Linked DNA regions of Rattus norvegicus. The protein of the gene in region 1 interacts with the protein of each later gene in a pairwise test. Links are inferred from orthologs where the notes say so. Each region holds a gene or a part of one and is shown in the gene's direction. Other genes may lie near its edges.

The links.
Region 2: the proteins of Rel (region 1) and Efhc1 interact in binary tests that used the Homo sapiens proteins (3 or more experiments, as listed by UniProt). The two-hybrid records come from large-scale screens. The link is inferred for Rattus norvegicus from reciprocal best matches to the Homo sapiens genes REL and EFHC1.
Region 3: the proteins of Rel (region 1) and Cep19 interact in binary tests that used the Homo sapiens proteins (3 or more experiments, as listed by UniProt). The two-hybrid records come from large-scale screens. The link is inferred for Rattus norvegicus from reciprocal best matches to the Homo sapiens genes REL and CEP19.

What each region holds. Positions count from the first base shown.
Region 1 is NC_086032.1:101,917,563-101,925,654, reverse strand, and holds the start of Rel (proto-oncogene c-Rel), read left to right. Parts: upstream 1-3,716; 5' UTR 3,717-3,984; coding exon 3,985-3,994; intron 3,995-8,092. UniProt on the Homo sapiens protein: Proto-oncogene that may play a role in differentiation and lymphopoiesis.
Region 2 is NC_086027.1:30,868,468-30,876,372, forward strand, and holds the start of Efhc1 (EF-hand domain-containing protein 1), read left to right. Parts: upstream 1-3,795; 5' UTR 3,796-3,841; coding exon 3,842-3,904; exon of another isoform or gene 3,905-4,068; intron 4,069-7,905. UniProt on the Homo sapiens protein: Microtubule inner protein (MIP) part of the dynein-decorated doublet microtubules (DMTs) in cilia axoneme, which is required for motile cilia beating.
Region 3 is NC_086029.1:82,187,923-82,195,826, reverse strand, and holds the start of Cep19 (centrosomal protein of 19 kDa), read left to right. Parts: upstream 1-3,794; 5' UTR 3,795-4,072; exon of another isoform or gene 4,073-4,086; intron 4,087-7,878; 5' UTR 7,879-7,904. Other genes in the region: Pigx (phosphatidylinositol-glycan biosynthesis class X protein precursor), read right to left, coding at 1,555-1,618, 3,451-3,544. UniProt on the Homo sapiens protein: Required for ciliation. Recruits the RABL2B GTPase to the ciliary base to initiate ciliation.

The sequences.
Region 1 (8,092 bases):
ATCAGTTCTTTTAACTGTAATCATTAGCCTTGACTCTTAGATCACATAATACATACGTGTGTGTGTGTGTACACATGCATGTATGTAACAGGTTAAATGATGTCTGAGAAAGGGTAAGAGAGGCTACAGAATCCAGAGGCTTTCCTGAAGTCAAAGGCAGAAAACAGATGCAGGCAACAGGAAGAGTTTGCATGGGTTGGGCAAGACGTCTTACAAACCGCGGCCTGGAGTTGTTCACATTAAATGCCAGTCCAAGTGACAAGACATTTCTAGGGTCAGTCTGATGTGAGCTGAGTGTCACCTGTGGGAGACTCTTCGCTTTATCTGGAGACTGATGTGGAGGCAAAATGAGTCCTTGAGGACTCATAAAGGCAATCATCCTTTATGAGGCTTATGACAGGTCACTGGGGGACAGTTAGCATGCCTGTCATGTTTTGGTCTTGGGGTATTCCTTCTTTTATAGTCCCTGGGTCAAGGGATTGATTACATGCAACGTGTTGCTTAGTTTGTGTGTGCTGTGCTTCTGACTACCAATTGATACATCTAGCTCTCGGTTTGTGTCTCGCAGTGTGCTGGCAGATAACAGTTGTTTGCTTGTGTAAGCAAGATGCAGACTCACTCTTTCTTGGCACTCATACTCAAATCGGAGTAACTCTGGTCATGCTTGTTGCTTTGCAAAATGGAATAACTCAAGGCAACTGTGGTGGTTTGAATGAGAATGCTCTCATTAGGCTCATATAGTTTAACTTGGTTTAGAGTTGGTACTATTTGGGAAGGATTAGGAGGTGTGTCACTAGGGGTAGGCTCTGATGTTTCAAAAGCCATTCCCAGTCAGCTTTCTGCCTTGTGGTTGTTGTCACAAGATGTAAGCTCTAACTACTGCCCCAGTGCCTCCATGCTCCCCACCAGGATGGCCATGGTCTTGCCCTCTGAAACCATGAGCCCTCAAACTCAATGCTTTCTTTTACAGATTGCCCTGATTGTTCCTGTGTTTTATCACTGTAACAGAAGAGTAACTGAGGTCATGAGGCTTAGCCTACAAGGTGATAATCCACATCATAGACTTAGTGAGAGCAGGCCCAGCTGAAGATGCCTGGGTCACTCCTGGAAGGGAGCCAGTCAACTCACAGGGGACTTTGGCTAACTTATTAAGCCCGAGGTTGTCACTGATAGACCTGAGCATACTATAATCCCACTCCATGCATTAGCTAATACTCCATTTCTGTTTTCTTCAACACTCTTCCAAAAGTTTATCTCATCCGTCAGTCTCTCCTTAACCAGCTTCATTTCGGCTTTTATACTCATCCTCTTTAAGGCACAGCTCTCCACTCACGAATGACTTCCATTCTTTATTTCATAGGCAGTCTCTCCATATAGCCTGGGCTAGCCCTGAACTTTGGAATCTCTGGTATCAGCCTGCCTAGTCTTGGGGTTACTGGAAAGAGCTGTGCCACCACTTTAACGACTTCCGTTTTGTCAAACTCTAGTTCATTAAAATAAAAAAATCCTCAGCTGCTTTTCAATTTTAGCAGCTGACTCTGCCATCAAACATCCGGCCTTCCTTTCACCTCATCTTCTGCACAAACACTAGTCCAACATCATGGTTCTAAAATTTTCATTGTGGCAACAGCTTAAATGCCCTGCCCTTGCCCCTCGGAAGCATATGTTACAGTGTAACATACCAGCCAAGATAAAATCTCCGAATGAACTGGTGCATCAATTGCATAGAAGTTTCCAGGAGCAACCACTGACTCAGCTGAAACATGGCTTCCACAGTGTCCTTCTGTAGAGCCCAAATGATTTCTACTACCCCCACCACCTTATTTTTATAGAAATACTGTAATGTAAACATTCATGTACGCTTGTGTTTGAGACAGTCTCCCCATAGCTCTGGCTGGCTTTGTAAACTCATTAGATATCGGAGTGTGATCTTGAAACTCTGCTATTCCTACCTCTACCTCCCAAATGCTGGGATAACAGACATTGCCACACACTACTAAAACTTCCACACCAGTCTGTATAAAACCCAGGCAGCCTTTCAGGTGTAGAGTGACAACCCTTCCCCCAGCACAAGATCTAAAAATCTCCATGAGAATTTAAACCTCCCTTTGCTTCAAGATGTATCTTCCTAGTTACTTCTTTGAATAAAGATAGTAAGTAGAAACTGTGTCATATGGATATGGTTGTGTCAAAGGCTGAAGTGTGTGTGTGTGTGTGTGTGTGTGTGTGTGTGTGGTGTTTTGTGGCTCAACCTAGCTTAAAAGTTATGATCCTGCGGTTTTGGCCTCTGGAGTGCTGAACATAATTAACTCTGCCAACTGCTTTTTTTTTTTTTAATATTTAAATCTTTGAGGCTTGTCTACGGTTGTGTTCAACCTAAAAGACAACTCTATTTATACTCTTTGTGAAGACACTTTGAAATTAGCAGATTTTAATAGTTTCTTTCACTTTGGGGGAGTTCTACAACAGGATTTTTTCTTTTTGGTATGAGAGAATAGTATATATTTTAAATATCCAACGCCCCTCCCCCCACACGCACACTTTGGTGCCCTTTCAAGCGCACGCGTTTGGGCACATGCAGAGTTAAGAGGACAACTTTTGGAAGTTGATTCGGTCCTTCCCTGATCAAACTCAGACTGTCAGGCTTGGTGGCAAGTGGTTTCTCCCTAAGACACCTTGTTGGCCATACAAGTCTATTTCCCGTCCATTACTTATTTTAGTAAGTGACTAGAGAACGCAAGAGGCGGAGCCAGACAAGCCTGAGTTATTTTTGTTGTTGAGACAGTCCACCTGCCTCGGCCTCCCGCGTGCTGGGAGTGCGCTAAACTGGACTGGATAATCTTAAACTTAAATCGTGCGTTTCCTTTCTAGAACTCTAAAGTACCGACAAAGCTCCTCTGCTCCTCCAAACCCCAATCAACTCCAATACTCGTGTATGCAATGAAATGCTAATAGACCAAGAGAACAGGTGCCTATTAGCAAGGGAAGGCGAATAAGATTCCGCCAGACCTGTCAAAGCACTAAAAGTTCGGTCCAGGCCACAGGCTGTGGGTATCTCGGTCAATCTCTGGACGTCGTGTTCATTTATACAGGATGGGGCACCGGCCTCGCAGCGCAGCTGAAAACCTCTGCTAGGTAAAGACGTAATGTAGATATAGAGGGAAAATAAGGCTGCGGGGGTCCCCGTATGCAAATCTGTGCCTTACAGCCGAACGCGGGCGCCCGCGCTTCCGCACTTCCCCTCCAAAGCCACGCCCTCCGGCGCGGGGGCGGAGATTTGCATGTGCGAAATAGGGAATAGGGGGAACCACCGGTCGAAAACCCCGGGCGGGCCTCTGGCGGCCAAGGAGCGAGCCGGCTGCACCGCCCGGCCCGCCTCCGGCCACTCGGCCAGCGTAACGTCACGGACACGCCCCTCGGTTTTAAGGACTCCGGAGGAGGGGGATTTCTCAGAGGCCAGCGGCTTCTCACGCGCGGAGCCGTCGCCGCGCGCCCCCGGGAGCTCCCCGCGCGAGCGCGCAGGCCGCCGTGGCTCTGCCGGGAGCGGAGCGCACTAGCCGGAGCCGGGAAGCGCGCCCGCCGCGAGGCTCCGCCCTCGTCCCGGGTAGGCGGTGGCGCGGGTGACGTAGGCAGCGGGAAATCCCCCCCCGTTCCGCCGGGCGGTCCGCTCCGCCCCCTGCCCCTGCCGCGGCATCCTGGCAGGGCGACTCCAGGACACTAGTGACCGGAGCGCGAAGATTCGGGGGTGGGAAGGTGTGAGCCGCAAACCCAGAGGGGCCGGGAAAGAAGAGGAGGCCCGGGGGTGGTCGGAGGACTGGGGTCGCGGCTGCAGAGGCTGCTCGGCCTCCTCCCTGGCTGGCTGGCTAGTTGGCTGACTGACGGGCTAGCTGGCTGGCTGACTCACTCACTCACTGACTGGCTGGCTGGCTTGCAGCCTCTGGCCCGACGCTGGAAGCTGCGGCGAGCGGCGCGCGAAGCGGAGCCATGGCCTCGAGTGAGTACCGGGGCGAACACCTGCGGGTCAAGGGAAGGAGCTGTCGGGGGCTCGGTTTGGGGTTGGGACGGTCTGCCTTTCAAGTCTTTTCATCTGGCAAATTGTCAGCCGTTTAAAAAGTTACCTGCTCCAGGGTTTGCGTGTGAAATCAAAGCGGCGCAGTGTAATCTGATCTCCTGGTAATAGCCAGAACCTTCGAAATTCCCAGCCGCGTGCTTTTAGGATCACAGGGCGTAATCTCAGTAAAGGCGAGCAGAGAATTCTCGAGTTTAAAGACTGAGTGGGTATGGAGACCCGGTTTTACATTTTTAAACTAAAAAGAGGAACCTCCGGACCTCAGACGAGCTTTCTTTTTTAAGTCCAATCTTGCTAGTTACTGATGGCTCTTGGTACAGAATGTGGTGTGGCTGTAAAAGTCCTCAGTGGCGTTTTAATTCGTTCCAAGCGAAAGCATTACCTCCGCTCCCAGGAACTAAAGGAGATGCTTGTCTAGTTTATAGTGTAGAGACCTCGATCCACTCAACCCCTAACCCCAAACCTGCGCCCACATTCAGCAAGAGGGCGAGAGGATTTTTTTCACTAGGTACTGGTAGGGATGAAAATGTCATCATTTGATGTCAGTGTTTATATGCCACTAGTAAGTATTGGATCGCCTGCTTTGAGGAGGACACATTTATAAGAAACAGTTTACAGGACAGGGGCGTCTAGTATGACAGCCCTGCAATTTGTAAAGCAGGTGCTTCAAGCAGCTGAGGTGGTGGTGGGGTGCTTTCCATCGTGGGAGCTAAAATGACACCTTCAGTCTGTAGCAGGACTCTGACCCTTATCTTCCCAATGACCCACAGTAGAAGGCAGCCGACGTCTGGCAGAGAAGAGGAAGTAGAAAGCTTAGTGACCGCTTTAAGAGTTGAGCAGAGCAATGCCATAACTCCTGCTGTAGGCCGTAAAGGAAACTGGGGTGTTTCACATGACACTTGATTTCAGTTTGTCTGTGGTTTTCATGAGAAAACAAGTGTAGTTTAAAATATTTCAACTTTCTCTTTACCCATTTAAATGAACCCAGACTTTCAGATACTCTAGTAAATTCGTAAATTTAACTCGTGTTCAGATTAAGAAGCACGGAAAGGCTTTAAATGTTTAATTCATTGGTAATCCGAAAGAGATTTTTGTATGAAATGTATAGAGTGGCAAGCTTTGTTAAAACAGCTCTGCCCTTGTCTACTTAACAGGATTTTATTAATAGAGTGCACGACTGTAATGCTTGAAATTTTTCAACAGAAAAATCATTTATTAAAGGACTGTAAGACAGCTATGATTTTAAAAATTAATACGAATGCAGTTTGCCTAAGGACACATATTATGTGCTGTTATAGAAATGATTCCAAAAGTTAAAAGGGGGAACTTTTAAAAGAAATAGCAAGTTTTAAAGATTTAGAAGTTGGGTTGGACTTGCCCAGCTTCTGTGAAGCCCTGGGTTCAGTTCTCAGTACTGTCAGAAAAAGAAAAAAAAAAGAAAAAAAAAACCAACAAACATAGAAACAAATCTGAAACTTGTAGTGTCATTATCTTCTTGCTTTTTGATCTTTTGTCAAGGGTTGCACTAAATGAGACTATTTTAAATTGTAATTTAGACTATAATTTAAATTGTAGTTCGGTTATTTGAAATTACTAGGTGAAAATATAGTTTAAAGGAGCCTAGAAGCCGTATCAGTTATAAAGACCATATAAGAGAAAACTTATGAAATACATTTAAAGTTCCCATTCCATTTGAAGTCATTTAAAAGCATCAAACTGCTTATTTTATCATTATGTAATTTAGACTCTTGTTTTCGATGTAGTACTGAAACCTTGAGAAGTGTTTCTGTCGATCGCCAGGTATTTACGTCCATTCGTTCATTCCTTCTCCGGATGTCATATGTAAATAGGTGTGTGTAATTTAATAGGTGGTGCCTTATAAAGGCAAAGTGTCATAGATCATACTCTCATGAGCAGAATTCTATAAACGTCCTGAGTAGACAGGGTTTTATATGATGATTCTAATTATTGTTCAGGTAAGTTAGCAAATTAAGACCTCCTAGCTAGCCCTTAAGCTGACTTTCATTGCCTTTTAAACAATACTGTCCTTTGATTCTGGCCTTTTGATGAGATTAATCATAGCAGGCAAAGTGCAGAAAAGTGTTCCCGATCAAAGTCTGCATATTTAGGAAGTCATTATCCACGCAGTTCTATTCTATTTAAGTCACTTTGTGTCCATGTTTAAAACTACTCATTATTTCCTAAAAAGAACAAAATGGAGGGAGGTAGCCCCTTACTTTGTGAGGCGAGTACTACAGGTTGCTAATGATTGCCACCGTCTTCGGTGAGATGCACTTTTAAATGTAGAAAGTTTGTATTTAGTCACACTTTTCCTTGAATATGATTCTGCTGTGTCACATAACAGGAAGGAAGAAATTATCTTTGTAGACCTTACTACTCACTAACTTTTTGTGTGTGAATTGCAGTAACCCTCCCCCCCCCCATAAGTGAACATAGCTGTGGGACCGCTTACCCTTTAATAATGGAGCCGGGGGCTGGGAGTGGCTGGCTGAAACAAATGACTTCCTTTTTTTTTTTTTTTTTTTTTTAAGTAAGACAGCTCACAAATACAGATATTTCAGAAGCGAAGCACATGGGAAAGAGCTAAAGGTGTTATAATAATTAGTGAGGTAAAGAGAATAAATGGAGAAAATGATGGGGCACGATCACGATTAAGAACGCGGGATATATGTGATCTCTTAAGTACTACCTAAGGGACTCAATTGCATTTCATTCCAGTTTTCTCCCGTCTGTGTTCTATGCACGATCGTGTTGATGATGAGATCCTGTCTCAAAAGGAGAAGGATGTAGCTCAGTTCGTAGAGTAGCTGCCCAGCCTTAAGAAGTCCTGATCTGACACAGCACTGGACCAAGTCTGTGATAGTGGAGCCTGTAATTTCAACACTAGGGAAGTGGGGGCTGGAGGCTTACAAGTTCAAGACCAGCCTAGGCTACAAAACAAGTTAGAGGTTAGCCCTAGAGAGATAAGACACCGTCTTTTAAAAAAAAAAAAAAAAAGGAAAGAAAGAACACAATAGTTAATTTTCCCTAAACTGATCTTTTTTGGAATAATTGTGTTATACAAAAGTACCATGATTGTTGGTCTACAGGATAGAAAAGTTACTTCCAACTGGAGAATATGGACTATAAATTCTGAAATGTGTTTTTGCATGAGGCTTGTTATCAATGGAGAGTTCATTTTTATTGTTGTTATACTTTTGCTTTTTTTTTTTTTTTTCGCTTTTCAAGACAGGGTTTCTCTGTGTAGCCCTGGCTCTCCTGGAACTCTCTGTAGTCCAGGCTGGCCTCAAAAATCAGAGATCCACCTGCCTCTGCCAACCCAGGACTGGGACTAAAGATGTGCCCAACCACTGCTTGGCTCAATGAAGGATTTCTACAAGAAAAATAAATATAAATGAATGATATTACATGACAATATTTAGGTAATTCTTACTACTTTAAGTTATTTTTTAAAAAGTACTTAACTCTTAAGTTCTTTGTATTTTATAGTTTTATAAATACACTCTGAGGGGTTAGGGATGTAGCTCAGTGGTAGAGCGCAAAGGCCCTGGGTTCGGTCCCCAGCTCCGAAAAAAATAAATAAATAAATAGATACACTCTGGTTTAAAGAAATGTGTAACTTGCTTTGAATGACCCTACAATGTTTTTTATACTTCTCCTTCAAAAAAGGTAACCAGCTACCAGCAATGATGTCATTACATATCAATTTCCCATCAGAATACCTCTTAAGTAATGGGCTGGGATTTATTTGACCTTTTAGTTCAACCACATAAGTTCTTTAAGATGCCACTGAAAAAAAAATCATGTTGAATTTAACGTACTTGAAAAGAAAGGTGCGTTCTCTTAAGTAAGTCCTACAAGAATGCATAGGCTATGAGATATTTAAAACTAAAAGGTAATTTTATACATACAGTGATACACAAGTTGTAAAATATTCATTTGCCTTATATTTCAGTACTTAGTATGGATTTGGTTGGTTTAAAATAGTTTTCTCTTTCTTTT
Region 2 (7,905 bases), on another chromosome or scaffold:
TTCTTCTTCTTTTCTTTTCCCCCTCCTCCTCCCCTTCTTCTTCTTCTTTTCTTTTCCCCCTCCTTCTCCCCCTCCTCCTCCTCCCCCTCCTCCCCCTCCTCCTCCCCTTCTTCTTTTCTTTTCCCCCTTCTCCTCCTCCTCCTCTCTCTTCTTCTTCTTCTTCTTCTTCTTCTTCTTCTTCTTCTTCTTCTTCTTCTTCTTCTTCCACAGACTCACTATATAGCTCAGTTCAGCCTCAAAGTTGCTGCACTTTCCAAAGTATTGGGGTCCTCGGCATGTACCAGCACACACCAGATGGATCAGAGAATTCTGTTGCGACTCGAGTTTCTGGCGGCTGAGACAATCTAAGAACGCGGCGTCTGCCTCTACTATGTGTTAATGTATGACACACTAGACCTTAAAAAGCTGAAGAGGCAAACAAAAGGTACCTTGCTCCATAACAACCCTTTCTTATAATAACCAGTCACAACCCACTCACCAAAGGCATTCATCCATTTGGGAGGCAGCTGCCCTCATGATCTGGTCACCTCCAAGACAAAACCTTCTACCACCACCATGATCACTACTACCATAGTAATTGAATGTCAACATAAGCACCACAGCGGACAGACCATATTCAAATCACTGCGGCGACTCTATCCGGCATTTCCCCTCTCAGAATGGACAGCAATGTTTAAAGGCCACAGACCACGGAAGTTGTCTCTACTCATGCACTTCTGTGTGCAAAAGTAAACAAGAGACACTCAGTTGACCATTTGACTAGTAGGATTTACTCTGAAAGAAAAGTATATAGGCAGAAGTCACTCCTCAAACACAAACAGATTCCTCCTGAGTGACAGGCTCCGGTGTGACTGACCCTTCCAGTCCCACAAGCTCCCTTCCTCGAACACAGCAGGGAAGACAGATCCAGGGCAGCCAGATTGTTCAGCCAGAAAGGCCCCTAAGCTTGTTTGTGTGTCCTGGGGTTTCCTTTAAGAGATATGATATGAGTAGAGAGATTGTGGACCTGCCAGAGTTTAAGCCTATCATGGTGAGTCACTCAACACTGATGCTGGCTACCCAGCAGCATCGAGGTCCTGAGGAGAGGGAGGCTGATGGGTTGAGATGTTCACCATGATTAATTCTCTCAGTCACCATCCCAGTCTGTGGTACGGTGCAACGGCGGGAGCTTTGAAAGTTTCCAGTCACTGCCCTGATGCTAATCAACTCATTGAGGGTTTTAATTAAATACTGAGGGTGAGTTCCTTATTAAGTTAATGTGTACACTAGGGCAAAAGGGACATGCAACGCAGACTATCAGGTGGAGGAAACACCACGGCTAGCTGTGGTGATGCAGGCCTTTAATCCCAGGGTTAGGAGGCAGAGGCAGACAAATCTCTGGGCTTCACAGAGAATTCCAGGAGGTCAGCAAGGAGAACACAATGAAATGCTGTCTCAAAAGAAGAAAAGGTGAAAGAGGAGGAAAAGGAGAAGGAAGAGGAAGAGGAGGAGGAGGAGGACGAAGAAGAAGAGGAAAAGAAAGATGAAGAGGAGGAAAAGGAGGAAGAGGAAGAGAAAGAGGAGGAAGAGGAGGAAGAGGCAGACAGGAATGAACAATAGTAGAAAGGAAGAAGTACTAGAAAACAATTTTGTGAGTAGGTACAGCAGTCTCCAGTAACGACTTTAGAGGTCACTTACTGTATTCTTTTCCTGACCCCAAAGCTTCATGCCAGCGAGTGAAACCCACAGGAAGATTTGCTGTTATAAGCAGCCACAAGGGCAAAGCAGACAGTTCTATTTTTGGTTGTCAACCTGACTCTACGTGGAATTCGCTAAAACCCAAGAGGCTGGGGATACTTGTGAGGGATTTTCCTTACTTAAATCATTTCCAGTGGGAAGACATGCCCTTGTGAGGTGGGAAGATCCACCTTTACTCTGGGCCACATGCTGGCGGCCTATCTAAAGGACCTGGAAGAAGGAAGCCGGCTCTCTGTCTGCTTGCTCTCAGTAGCAAGTCCCTTCCTTCACTGGCATTAGAGCCTAGTTCTTTGGAATTCTGGCATATACTGAAGGCATCCAGGCTTGTGGACTGAGCAACTGCTGAATTCTTGGACCCTCTGTTGGTACACAGCCATTGTTGGACTAGCTGGACAACAGCCTGTAAGCCAAAATCCAGGGTGTCCCTGTGTGTGTGTGTGTGTGTGTGTGTGTGTGTGTGTGTGTGTTGATAGGTACAGTAAACCCTTTATGTCTGACTTTAAATAAAATATCTCAGCAAAGCCTTTGCTATGTTTGGGTGCTCTGGAGAATTTGTACTTGGTCCTACGTGAGAACTTGCAGCTGCACTAATCTGGGTCTTAAGGTACTCCTGGCAAACCTGGAGTCCTTACTTACAATTATGGCTAGCCATGGTCAAAAGGGTTGTCTGCACTCCTGAGCAGCAAGGGCAAGATACCTTTGGTAGCTCGAACCTTCCCAGCCCCAATCAACCTTGCATATTTTTTGAATAAAGTAACTGGAGTGAGTTAGCTGGGTGTCAGCCTAGTCCAAAAAGGCCGAACCCCTCTGCTCCTTCGGGAAATAAAGGCTTAGCCTCTTGGCGAGCTTCTCTCTCTACTTCAGCACCAACATCAATCAATACGTGTTTATTCATTCTATCAGTTCTGTTCTTCCAGGGAGCCCTGACTAATACAGCTGCCATTTGAACTGGTGACCCACGACAACAAGCTATGTCTTCTCTCTCGGGCTTACTACTCTATCATTTCTCTAAACTCCTAGGTCAGAAAACATAAAGACCAGAATCCTGGGAAATTTGAGACATATGGGAACCAAATCTCTGGGCATCGTTTTATTTTTAACTTCTCCATGCTGATGGATTCTTGGTTTCTTCCTTTACCTTTCTTTAAAGACCTTTCAGGGTCTTTTTTTTTTTTGAAAAGGAAATTAGGTTGTCCATAAAGTTTGATACTTGTTAGTACACATGACACTGACAACATTTCACTCACCCAAGTTGCTTCTTTCTCTGAGTCGGTCTCTCTTCCTCTGAGGTTCTTAGGTTTCACTGATGTTATAGGTATGAAGTAGGGACTAAGGTAGGCACTTCTCAGTCAACAGTTACCCAGTAAAGTTCTGCGCACTTACAGGAATCTACGGTGGAATAAACAGCTGAGAGAAGACCAGGAAATTGGGGGATTGGGGAGATGGGGGCTTCCAAATCAGTTCACTGATCAAGTCTGAGCAACGGAAATGTAGTCAATTATAATCTAATCCACAGCTCCAGCTCCAAGAAGTATGAGTTTGAAGTACTTAGCGCAACCATGGTACGTTGTGTGTGGACTAGGATAGCAGCTTTTTCCCCAGAGTTGAGAAAGGATGCCTGAGCTCTTGGGAGAACTGGGAGCGAGAGGGAACTTCTTTGTAACTCTTCTAAAAGGACGTGGTCCAATCCCAGACCTCACTGGGCGAGCCAAGGCCTAAGAACAGCCTTACAGATTGCTGCTCCTAGATTGGATCCTCTGGGACCCAGGAAGTGGGGACTGAGGAGAAAGGAAAGGGATGGGAAAGAAAGGGGCGGGACAGCCTCTGTCACACCCATCAGCCACGTCCAGTTAAGGCTATTAGAGGCAGTAGTGCTGTGCGCAGACGCAGACCTGGCCGCCTCCTCCTCCTCCCCTCCCCATCCCCAACCCCCACCTCCCCCCCACCCCCACCCCCACCACCCACCCCGCCTCCGCCGCCTTTCCCCTCCCTCCACTAGTGTGTTTGGCGTTACCTTGGAGTCAGCAGAGGCCCGCGAGTGCTGTTTGTTGCCAGGGCAACCCGAGCGGCAGAAGGCAACCGTGGCGGCAACTGCGGGGCAGCGATGGTGACCAACCCGGTGCACGGCCTGCCCTTACTCCCGGGCTCGTCCTTTACGGACTCCACGGTGAGGGCCAGCCCGAAGGGTTCTCCGCTTGGCGCACGTCTGTTCTCCTTCATCCTGCAGGCTCCACCGTCCGCACGCATCCCAGCCTCTGCCGAATTTGCTCGGCCTCTTGGTAGTCCACTCACCCTCCTGGGCTCACAGAGGCCCTGTTATTTTCCTGCCCTATCTACCTGCCTTCTGGCCCGATTACCCTAGGCCATCTCCAGGCCTCTCCGCAGCTGCACTCTAACCTTACTTAGTGCCTTCATCCTCTCCTACCTTCTCTCCCCAGCAACCTCATTCTTGATCTGTCTGGCCTCTTCTGAATCCTCAAGATCACTGCCCTTCAGCCCCCTTTCCTCAATGTGTACGCACCCTTCCCATGCACTTCTTTCCTGACGGGTCTCCCCCCATTCTCTGACCCTCTAAGTTAAGGGTCACTTTTCTCTCCAGCTTCAGCCTTCTCTAGAATTGAAACACCCACCCACCCACCACCCACCCGTGCCAACCCCTCAACTTGTTTTTTCTTGTAGTTTTCCTCTGTAAAACATTCCCATCTTCCTCCTTTCTTTGTATTTCTCCCACCTCATTTAACCACATAGACCACTTGGTGTTTTTCTATAGCCTGTGTTTTAATACATGTATATATGATATAAAGATATATGTATGTATATACATACATGATTCCTTTTCAGATTGTGTATGTGTGTGTGTGTGTGTGTGTGTGTGTGTGTGTGTGTGTGTGTGTGTGTATAGGGGGGGTCTTTTATCTTATCTGCAGCCTAGACTGGCCTTGAACTTGAAAACCACCTGTCTCGGCCTCCAGAATGCTTGGAATTAAAAACATGCCAACACACAGGGCTCCTATTCAGATTGTATTTTACTTCATTGCCCTGGCTGTATTTTTTTATTCATCGTCTAGATGAAATTAAATAAAAACAAGTCCAGAGTGGTCATGCACATCCGTGATCTCAGCTTTCAGGAAGCCGAGGCATAAAGATGGCTACTTTGAGTCTAGCCTGGGCTATATAGCTAGTCCCTGTCTCCAAAGAATAGCAGATCCAAAACAGACAGAACAAGAGCTACATGAAAAGGAAGCATAAGTCAGGCTGGGAAGGGGCTCAGAGGATAAAGTACTTGTTCCTCTCATGAGAGGAGTAGAGTTCGCTAGAACCCACAAGAACCCAAGCAAGGACCATAGCTAGAACGGCCAGTTAGCTAGATTGGCCCTTATCTGATGCGGCCTACCCATGTCAACTTCGGTCTTTCATGTGTATCCCCACATACATGCAAACAGACACATACACTCACACACCTACACACACACATGCTTGGAACAAACCACCCCAACAACAACAACAACAACAACACCTCATATCAAAGCCAGTGACAACAGTAATTTGGGTTCTTGGTTTCCTCTTAACATAGGTTAACTATTTATTTATCCATTTCTTTTGAGACCGGGTCTGAAGCAGCCCCGGTTGGCTTCCCACTTACTGTATTGTCTGGGCTGATCTGGAACTGATCCTCTGGGCTCCTGAGTTTGGAAATACAGGCAGGTCCCCAAAGACAGCTCTTTGTGGGTGCCAGGCAAACACGCTTCCAACTGAGCTACACTCCCAACCCCAACTCTCAAATGCATTCTGCATTTTTAAAAAAATTATCAGAGTGCTAGAAATATTCTCAAGAGTCAACATTGAGATTGGTGGAGATGACCATAGGCACGCCAGTAGTCATTTACATTCATAGAGTTTAATGATTCAGACTCTTAGCTTTTTCTTCACATTTCTAAAGGAAAATTATCTCATCTCCTTGTTTTCTAGGGGACACAGTTTCAATTTCAGTTGCAAGTGTGGCAAGAGACTGGGTTCCGACTCTCTTCTAGTCTTGTATTAAGATGTAGCAGGGTCATTTTTGTTTTAAAGATGCAAACTCGTTAAGCATGATCCCTGCCCGTTGTTTGTTTGCTTGAGGCAGGGTCTCTCTCTTTTTGAACCAGACTAGCCTGGAGTTCACTGTGTAACCTAACCTGTCCTCAGACTCACAGTGATCTCCAGCCGCCATTTCTCAAGTTCTGGATTCAAAGAAGTCTAGCCTGCGGTGCCTAGCCAGCGCCATAGACTCTCCGTTTCAGTGAACTTTTTAAATGTTACGTGATTTTTAAAATTGTAGACATTGTCCTGTGCTGTAGAGAATCCGAGTAAGCATTTGCTATGGGTGAGTGTGGGTTGTGTGTGCACGTGTGCACAGGCATGTGCACCCCACATCAAAGCAGAACAACAACAGTAGTTTGGGTTCTTGGTGGAGAACCCCACGAGGAAAGGGTGGAGTCGATTTGTGAGATTGTAGAAGTGTGGAGGATAGAAATGCCAGACTTTATTTATATGGCAGGATGAAGTGTCTTTGGACACACTTCCTATGAAGTATACCGAGTGACTGTCAGCTAATTACTCTTCCTTGAAATTTGAAGAGCTTGCTAACCTTGTTGTCATCAGGATAGGAATGTTGTAACTTCGAAGAAAATGTGTCCAGAAGGTGAACCCCGATGAATAAGAAGAGTGGGAAGCCCGAGAATGCCTTGTCTTGGGTGCCCCATGATACAGTTGACTGATGCTAGAGACATCTTTTAACCTCAGAAAACGAACTGACCTTACTGATGTTGGTTTCATTTCATATTGCGTGGGATGGTTTGGTGGGGGGTGGGGGTGGTGAGGGGCTGCCGTAGAACCGTGTGTAGAGTTCATAGGACAACTTCCGGGAGTTGATCTTTTTCCTTCTACCATGTGGGTTCTAAGGATCAAAATCAGGTGGTCAGACTTGGTGCTAAGTAACCTTTATCTACCAAGCCACCCCCTTCCTCAGCCCCACTACCCAGTTTCGGTGCTGGGAATTGAACCTAGGTCTTTGACTGTTCTAAGTGCACCATCACCAAGGAGTACTCCCAGCCTCTAATGATACTGCCCCTGACTTTAGAGGTAGCAGAGAGGAACTGGAAGCTATCGTATTGCCCAACTCAGTACATGTTATTCCTTGTCCTGTGTTTGTGCACGGGGGACAGTTCTGCCAACTGACTTGTAACCCAGAACTCGTGACACTGAAAGAAAGGTCTGTGGTCCATACTGTTTTAGCAGAATAGTCCATAATACTCAACCTTTTATGGTAGTAGATGAGAGGGATCATAGTCTGCTTTCCAAGGAAATTGGGAGCTAGTCAAATTAATCTTTCTATTCTTTTTTTTAATATTTATTTAATGTATATGAGTACACTGTAGCTTGTCATCAGACACACCAGAAGAAGACATCAGATCCCATTACAGATGGTTGTGAACCACCATGTGGTTGCTGGGATTTGAACTCAGGACCTCTGGAAGAGCAGTCAGTGCTCTTAACCGCTGAGCCATCTCTCCAGCCCCTCTATTCTTAATAAAACAAAGTTTGATTATTTGTTAGCCATGTGTACAAATATGTAAACTATATTATGTGCATACAATTAGAAAGCAACCCCATAAAGAACATAAAAACCCCCACTGAATTAATATAACTTCAACTTTGTTTTCTTTATCTAATTTTTTATTAATTTCCAATGACAAACAGATGTGTATTGATGGCAGAACAAGAACATAATCTAGCAACACCTAATTCAGGATGTTCACCCACCCCAGTTTGTATGCTTACAATTATAGTGTATTTCTATAATTTTATATGATGCTTTCTCTCTCTCTCTCTTTTTTTTGTCTTAATAAATTGTAGAGACTTTACCAGGCTGCTGCATGGCATTTAAAACCATTTTAATTCCAGCATAGTAATTGTGTTGTTTAAATTGTTTCCAACATTTAATATCCTAGACGCACAGATCTTTGTCACTATCATGATCAGCTTCAAGCCTAGTGTTGTTTCCCATAACTCTGGAATGTACTTTAGAAATCAGTGCACAAGAACAGGGTTGCCGGGTGTTTCCACATATGCCAGCAAGCTGCTTTTTAAAGACGTCTGTGAATGAACGTGTCAGTGTCAATGTGATAA
Region 3 (7,904 bases), on another chromosome or scaffold:
CTTGACCATAACTTCAAAAGATGTAAGCTTTCTGGATGCCTCATTAAAAGCAATTAGAGACTGAATAATGAGAGACCAAGGGAGTTGGAGACGGCAACAGAAAAGTATGAAAGCCGGAGCTTAAAAAGAAAAACCAACAAAGAGAAAGGCTGGTAGCAAAGAAGGAACAGAAGCAGTGAACTCAAAGTAACAGCACATGATCTAGTAACTACGTAAATGGTAAATAAACCACATTCAGTAAACCAGGCTGGCGTAGAACTCAGAGATATGACTGCCTCGGCCTCCAGAGGGCTGAAGTGAAGGATGTGTGCTACCACTGCAGGCTGGCCTTTTATTTCTTCTTCTTTTTTTTTTTTTCTGGAGCTGGGGACCGAACCCAGGGCCTTGCGCTTGCTAGGCAAGCGCTCTTCCACTGAGCTAAATCCCCAACCCCTGGCCTTTTATTTCTTATTTTAAGAGTTTATGCATGGGCTGGAGAGATAGCTCAGCGGTTAAGAGCACTGACTACTCTTCCGGACGTCCTGAGTTCAATTCCCAGCAACCTCATGGTGGTTCACAACCATCTGTACTGGGATCTGATGCCCTCTTCTGGTGTTGTCTGAAGACGGCTACAGTGTACTCACATATAATAAATAAAGAAAACTTTAATAAAAAAAAAAGTTTATGTATTAGGAATAGTAACCTGGCAAGAAGTAATCTTTTCAAAAGGCAAGATAATTATTAAAAATAAGAGCAAAATAAACCAGGAATCGCACAGTATACAGCTGTAATTCCAGCAGTTGGAAGGCTAAGTCAGATCACAAAAGTTTCAAGCCAACTCGAGCTACACTGCAATACTGTGTCTCAAGGAAGAAAAATAAAGGCATACAAAATTAAATAAAATTACACACATATATGTACATTGCAAGCAACGATTAATCCACTGTAATCATGTAATCATTTCAAAGTGCGAACCACATATGACAAATCTGTTACTCTGTGACTTTAAGAAAGACAGGCTCAGGGCTGGAGAGATGGCTCAGCGGTTAAGAGCACTGACTGCTCTTCCAGAGGTCCTGAGTTCAATTCCCAGCAACCACATGGTGGCTCGCAACCATCTGTAATGGGATCTGATGCCCTCTTCTGGTGTGTCTGAAGACAGCTACAGTGTACTCATATGAATAAAATAAATATTTAAAAAAAAAAAAGAAAAAGGAAGACAGGCTTAGTGGCATACATTTATAATCCCAGCCTTTGGGTGGATCAAGAGTTCGAGGTTATCTCAAGCTACATGGCAAGTTTGAGGCCAGCCTGGACTAGATGAGACCTTGTCTCAAAACAAACAAGCAAAAAAAAAAAAGAAACAAATTTTCTTTTTTTTTTTCCTTTCTTTTTTTTTCCGGAGCTGGGGACCAATCCCAGGGCCTTGAGCTTGCTAGGCAAGCGCTCTACCACTGAGCTAAATCCCCAACCCCTAGAAACAAATTTTCAATTTATCCATATTTCAACTATTAATTTATTGCTGTGAATGATGAGAAAGTACTTAATATAAGTAGAAACCAGTGGGCAACCTACCTGTGGAAACCATCTTTCAAAAATTCTTGCCTCAAAATAATTTCAGAACAAGTGGCCCTTACACCTATAAAAATCAAGACGTTAAAAATGAAAATACATTCAAGGAAAGAAATCTTAAGTAGTTAGAAAATAACTACTACAGTAAGCTTTACTTGCTAGAAAAGCCTAACCACCAACAGCCCAAGGTAAAAACTTTAAATGTACACATTTCAGCTACACAGAAATCTACTCCCAGTAGTACATCATCGAGGTTGAGAACACCTTTGGAATTGGCTTCTCTGTTTTCCATCATTTAACAGCTGTCTTTGAGTAAGACCAGTCCTCTCTGTGGATGTCTGAGGTATTCAACACAAGTAGACACAGTCAGAAAGCTGCTACCATACACAAAGGACTTTGATCATGTGACCTTGAGACATCACCCCGGCTCACCAAATCATGTTTAATACATAATACAGCAGCTTCTGTATTCTTTTTTTTTCCGGAGCTGGGGACCGAACCCAGGGCCTTGCGCTTCCTAGGCAAGCGCTCTACCACTGAGCTAAATCCCCAACCCCGCAGCTTCTGTATTCTTATATGTCCATATCTACAAGTCTTGGAAAATTGTACACAGACACTCTGTGAAGATGTTAGGAGAGTTTGAAAAGAAAGGCAAGGGGGTTGGGGATTTAGCTCAGCGGTAGAGCGCTTGCCTAGCAAGCACAAGGCCCCAGGTTCGGTCCCCAGCTCCAGAAAAAAAAAAAAGAAAAGAAAGGCAAGGTAAGAGAATCAGGGGCACGTAAGATTCAAACAGTTCACTTACACACTTGGAATAAACAGAAATCTTCATAAACTGATTCCATGCTTCTTTTGGCCACTAAAACAATTACTCAGTGACTAAAAATTCAAGACAGGCAAGATGGCACACACCTTTGATGCCAGCACTCAGCTTGGTCTACATACAAGCTCCAAGAGAGATCCTTTCTCAGATATCACAAATTAAGAAGCAAACAAAAAAAACCCTAAAGATTCAGTAGCCAGATACCTTGCTATAAAACACTGGCTAGAAATGTGTGGGAAGAACATTAAAACACAGTGTGAATCACTGATAAACCTGTTACTCAGTAACGTGAAGCCAGGAGATAAACAGATGGGAGAAGCTTGAGGGTCCTACCAACAGGGAGTCAACAGTTGCTGGGGGCAAACTGCAGAGAGAAAAGAGATGGGGGGAAAATCGTGCTGGCGCTGAAATCTGCCTGGAAGTTGCTTAGTGAGCTCCAGGGTTGCAGTTTTCAGGAGCCACCCATTTGGGGATGAGCGATGAAACTTCTTTTGAGTTATCCTTGTTCCTAGTAAGAAACCCCTCACCCATATTCCTACTAGTAAAGCCAATAAAAAAATTAATTGGGTAGAGCGCTTACCTAGGAAGCGCAAGGCCCTGGGTTCGGTCCCCAGCTCCGAAAAAAAGAACCAAAAAAAAAAAATTAATTGGTTTACCAGACCGGACACTGGTACAAAGGTTACCTTTCTGGAGTGAGTAGTGCGTGCGTGCGTGTTTCTCTAGGAAGTGTGTCACATAACACACCACCTCACCCCTTCTCCCATACATGCTGTCTGGGCGTTCTCACACTTCGCTGGTTGCCGAGGGTTCGTTGCTTCTCAGCTAGCACAAAGCATCTTAAGGGGAACCATAAACATCTCAAGGTGCTTCGTGGCTGGCTGTTCTTGTTTATTAGCACTTTAGTCACAGCGTGGCCAGTCCCGCCTCGGGAAGACAAAGCCAGGCTCTGAAGCCCGGGATGGAACACCCAGCAAAGATCAAGCAGGAAAGGGCGCACGCAGCCTTCGTTGCTAACCTCCTCTGGACTCTGGTACCCCAGGCACCGCGAATGCTCCCCACCTCAGCCCCCTGACCTTTACCATCGCTGAAGCGGGCGTCGCTGATGTCTGCGGCGAGCCTGCCGACCAGCCCAGCTGCCCAGAGGAGCAGCCAGGCAAGGGCGCTGGCAGCCAGGACGCCGGAGCCCGACGCCCGAGAGGGGCGCGCGGAGCAAGCTGCGGTCACGGGAGGAACCTGAGCACGCAGAGCGTACCCCCACCTTCCACGGTGACCCGGACAGAACGCTCCTTGCGCTCCCACCCTAGGACCCCCTGTAACTCCAGGTTCCTGAGAGGCCGGCCCCTAGCCCCGCCCCTCGTCATCTCAGCCGGGGCGGGGCGAGAGGCTGCGCAAGCGCAGTTCGCGCGCCCCGCTGTTGCCTAGAGAACGATCTTTGGGGCGCCCTGGCGGGCCCTGGACCCGACGAGCTGCTTTAGGACCGCATTCGCCGCGCTCAGCCCCGCTTCCTGTCCTCAACCGGATGCGTGCGGGCCGGGCCCCCTGCCGCTGAATTCACCCCATGGTTACTCCTGTAGGCTATGGCTGTCGCCGCTTCCTGCAGGGTCAGGCTCCACCTCGCCTCAAAGTCGATCTAAGTGCTCCTCTGTGCAAGGCGATAGGATGGAAACCATCCCCTCACTGCTGTTCAGATTTTCACGTCCTGTACGTCTTCAAGGGTAAGAAGGGCCGCGGAGGGTAGGAAGGGTCTCCTTGCATTGGTAAGCGCATGAATCGGAAACTCTGTATCCCCTTAGGTGCTCTAGGGAGCACAGTACTTGATCCCTGGTAGAAAAAGTATATTAGATAAAAGTACATTTGTTAAATATGATGTCATTCCTCCCGACTGCGGAATGTGTTAGCAGGCTTAGAGAGTGCTATACTACAGATCAGAAGGCTCGGAGTTCTCAAAAGTAGGAAGATAGTGTAATATAACACTACAAACAGGCTATTAAGAAATATGGACGAAACAAACAAACAAAAAGCCGGGTAATCTTAGCACTGGAGAAGCAGAGGCAGTCAGATCTCCGCGTTTGAGGCCAGCCTGGTCTATAGAGTGAGACCATGACAGGACAGCCAGAGCTACACAGAGAAATCCTGTCTTGAAATACCAACAACAACAATAAATTAAAAAGAAAACTCCATAGTCAAGACCTTAACATTATAATCGACTCTATTCACAAATGTGGCCATTTGCTTGTGTTTGTAGACCAGAGAGTGTCTAGAAGGTTCTAGAAAGTTTACTAACATCACACTTTAGTGAGGTGATCTGGGAATAGTGAGTGGTCATTGACTCAGATCAAAGGCAAACCACAGCAATATGAAAAGGAGCTCTTTATTATGACTAACCTGAGTAAAAATCTCATATCTATCACTAGGGGTGAAAATACAGATGATGACCCTATATGATAAGTCTACCTAGCAACCGTAAAATTTTCATTTTAATAAGGAAACCATATGTGTGATATAAAACTAAACCGTAGTTTTTATATTTATGCATATATGTATGTACACATATATATAGCTAGAAAAAAAGAAGCTAGATGAATATTCATTTTCTCTTTCCCATTTTCCCCTATTTTTCTATAACGAACTAATATAATGTTAGTTTCTTTTTTTTTTTTCGGAGCTGGGGACAGAACCCAGGGCCTTGCTCTACCACTGAGCTAAATCCCCAACCCCATAATGTTAGTTTCTTAAACAGTGCACCTAGACTTGTCCTCCTACCAGAACTAAGTTTATAAAGATATTATTACCTTATGCTACCTTACCTCTGTTGCTGTAAAATTATTAAAAATGCCTTAATTTATCCCACACTAGGTCCAGCACCTTAGTGCCCCAAGATATCTTGTAGATATCTTCCTCTCACCCGCTTTGCTCAATCCCATATCACACTGCTGATGGCTTCTCTCTGAGCCTGACAACAGTCTCTCTACCCATCTAGTTCCCAAGGCAGGTTGCCACCATGCCAGAAATACACGTCTCCAGTCACCACATATACTCTTGAACTTAAAACATGAAAGAACACACAACACAATAACCTCCGATACAATTGATAATATATAATTTGCTCACCTAGACATACAAAAAGCCCTGTACACATCCATCCCTTAAGAATATTCATAACAGGGGGCTAGAGAGATGGCTCACAGGTTAAGAGCACTGACTGCTCTTCCAGAGGTCCTGAGTTCAATTCCCAGCAACCACATGGTGGCTCACAACCGTCTGTAATGGAGATCTGATGCCCTCTTCTGGTGTGCCTGAAGACAGCTACAGTGTACTCACATACATGAAATAAATAAATAAATCTTTTTAAAAAAAAAAAGATTATTCATAACAACCTGTAAATGTGCAGAGAGGAATCTTAACATCAGCCTCCATGTTCTCTCTGCTGCTTCTCCTGCCTCCTCCAGTCTCCTCCTCTCTCTAAAACTTTTCTCCCGCCCATCCTTCCTTCTCGTCCAATGACAGGCCTCGTTCTATCTTGTACCTGCCTTCACCTGTATGACATCAATCCAGTTTCAACATTTGCAAACCATAGCCACTATGCAAGTGTAAGAATCTAAGTCATTCTTAAAGTTGAGTGTACTACTTTGCCACTGAGGGTAGAGAAGGAAAGAGAGAGCAGAAAGTATTAATCTGAAAATATCTGCGTTTCTTATACCTGGAAAAGTACCATAGTCAGACAAATGAGCTGTAGTAAAGGCCACATACACATTACTGTTTTGCATATGGAGAGGCTGATTATCTACACACCACCCCTACCCCCTTTTTTTTCTTGAGACGTAAGGGAACAAACAGAGTTCTCAAACAGCTGTCCTGGAACTCAGGGCAGTCCTGCTGTTTTGGCCTTCTGCGTTCTGGGATTACAGAACTCAGACACTATGCCTGTTCAGATCCGCCATTTTAACTGTGATTGATATTTCGGTTGTCACCTGTCAGCTGGCTGGGGTCATGTTGCTCTAACTGGATAGAAATCAGTAGGAGAAGTTCCCAGGCCCTTGAGTGTCCAAGGCCTGGACTAGCAGACTAGATGATTGCAATTCCAAACACTGAGAGGTCGGGACTTAGGGCTCCTGATTTAGAAGCTAGTGACGCATGGCTCTGGGTGCTCAGGTTGGATGCTGTTGGCATTCATTTGGCAAGCATTTGCCAGCCACTGTAATGCTCAGCGCCCAGCGGCTGTGAGTGAGAGCAGCAGTCATCTGCTGGACTTACAGATCCTGGAGGGGGGCCTTGACTGTTGAGACACTGTTGGTATCAGGAATTGCCTTTACCTCCAACAGCTGCAACGGTTGGTCACTGTTGCTATGGCAACAGCCATACATTCCCAGAAGACCTTTTGGCTCAATTCCCACCTCGACCTGGGAATAGTTACATCACATTCCAAATAAAAAGCAGACTTCCTTTGCCTTCCTTCTCTTTTCTTTTCTTTCTCTTGCCCCTTCCCCTAGTCTCATTCTTCATAAATCTCTCCTTGTGGAACCGTATTGGTTTGGTGTGCTCTATCTGGATGGGTACAGGCCGATATTTAACAACAACAAGATTTTAATAACAACAGACACTTCATTCCTACAATGACTAGTATTACCGCTTAAGGCCAGGAAGCCTCCTGAAACTCTTCAGCACCTAGTTCTCATAGCTTCCTCTGCCTCTACTCCAGTGTTTCCACTTCAGTTATTTGCTTCCTCTCTGGAAGCCTTCCTGGGGCTTCAACTGTTACTAGTTGGAAGCTGCTACCAGTGTGCCAGTTCTAACCTTGTCTTCCTTGTGCCGATAGCTCAGTCTGGTCTGCTAATACTAACAGTCAAAGGCAGGAGGGAAAAGGCCACTCGCAGAGCCTTTCAAATGAGCCTAATGTTATAGCATGTAACGCTGGGAGCAGCACAATGAGGGTGTATCCAGGTGACTTCAGAAGTGAGCTGCCAGGTGGACAGAGGCCAGAATATTTGCAGCAATCACAACACATCCCTTCATGCATCACAGACCTGCCGCGGAGCCAACATGATGAGTGCCCCTCTGCCTAATGCTCATTGAGGCTTCCGCTCAGCCCGGGCTTTCTGAGACCTGTGCAGACTGGTGGAGTGCTCCTGATGACTGTCTTCAGCTATGCTTCTGTAGTATCCTCAGAGAAACAGGAAGGAAGGAAGGAAGGAAGGAAGGAAGGAAGGAAGGAAGGAAAGAAAGAAAGAAGGAAGGAAGGAAGGAACCAGAGTCTGGCTATTAAGAGTAAAGGGCTGACAGTTCCACCCCAGGCTGCTAGGTTTAAGAGAAGGACCTGTGAAAATGTTGGCCTACATGGTCTTAGAGAAGCCTCAACACAAACTAACAATTCCTGTAACAGTACTTCATATTATATAACAATGTGTACCAGCATTTGACTCCTGCCCCAATGCCCCAGGATAATATATAGTAACTTTGCTTGTATTAATACACAGCACTGAACAAGTATTACCTTTATTATGTTCCAGACATGTACTAAGAGCTTAATGAAAAT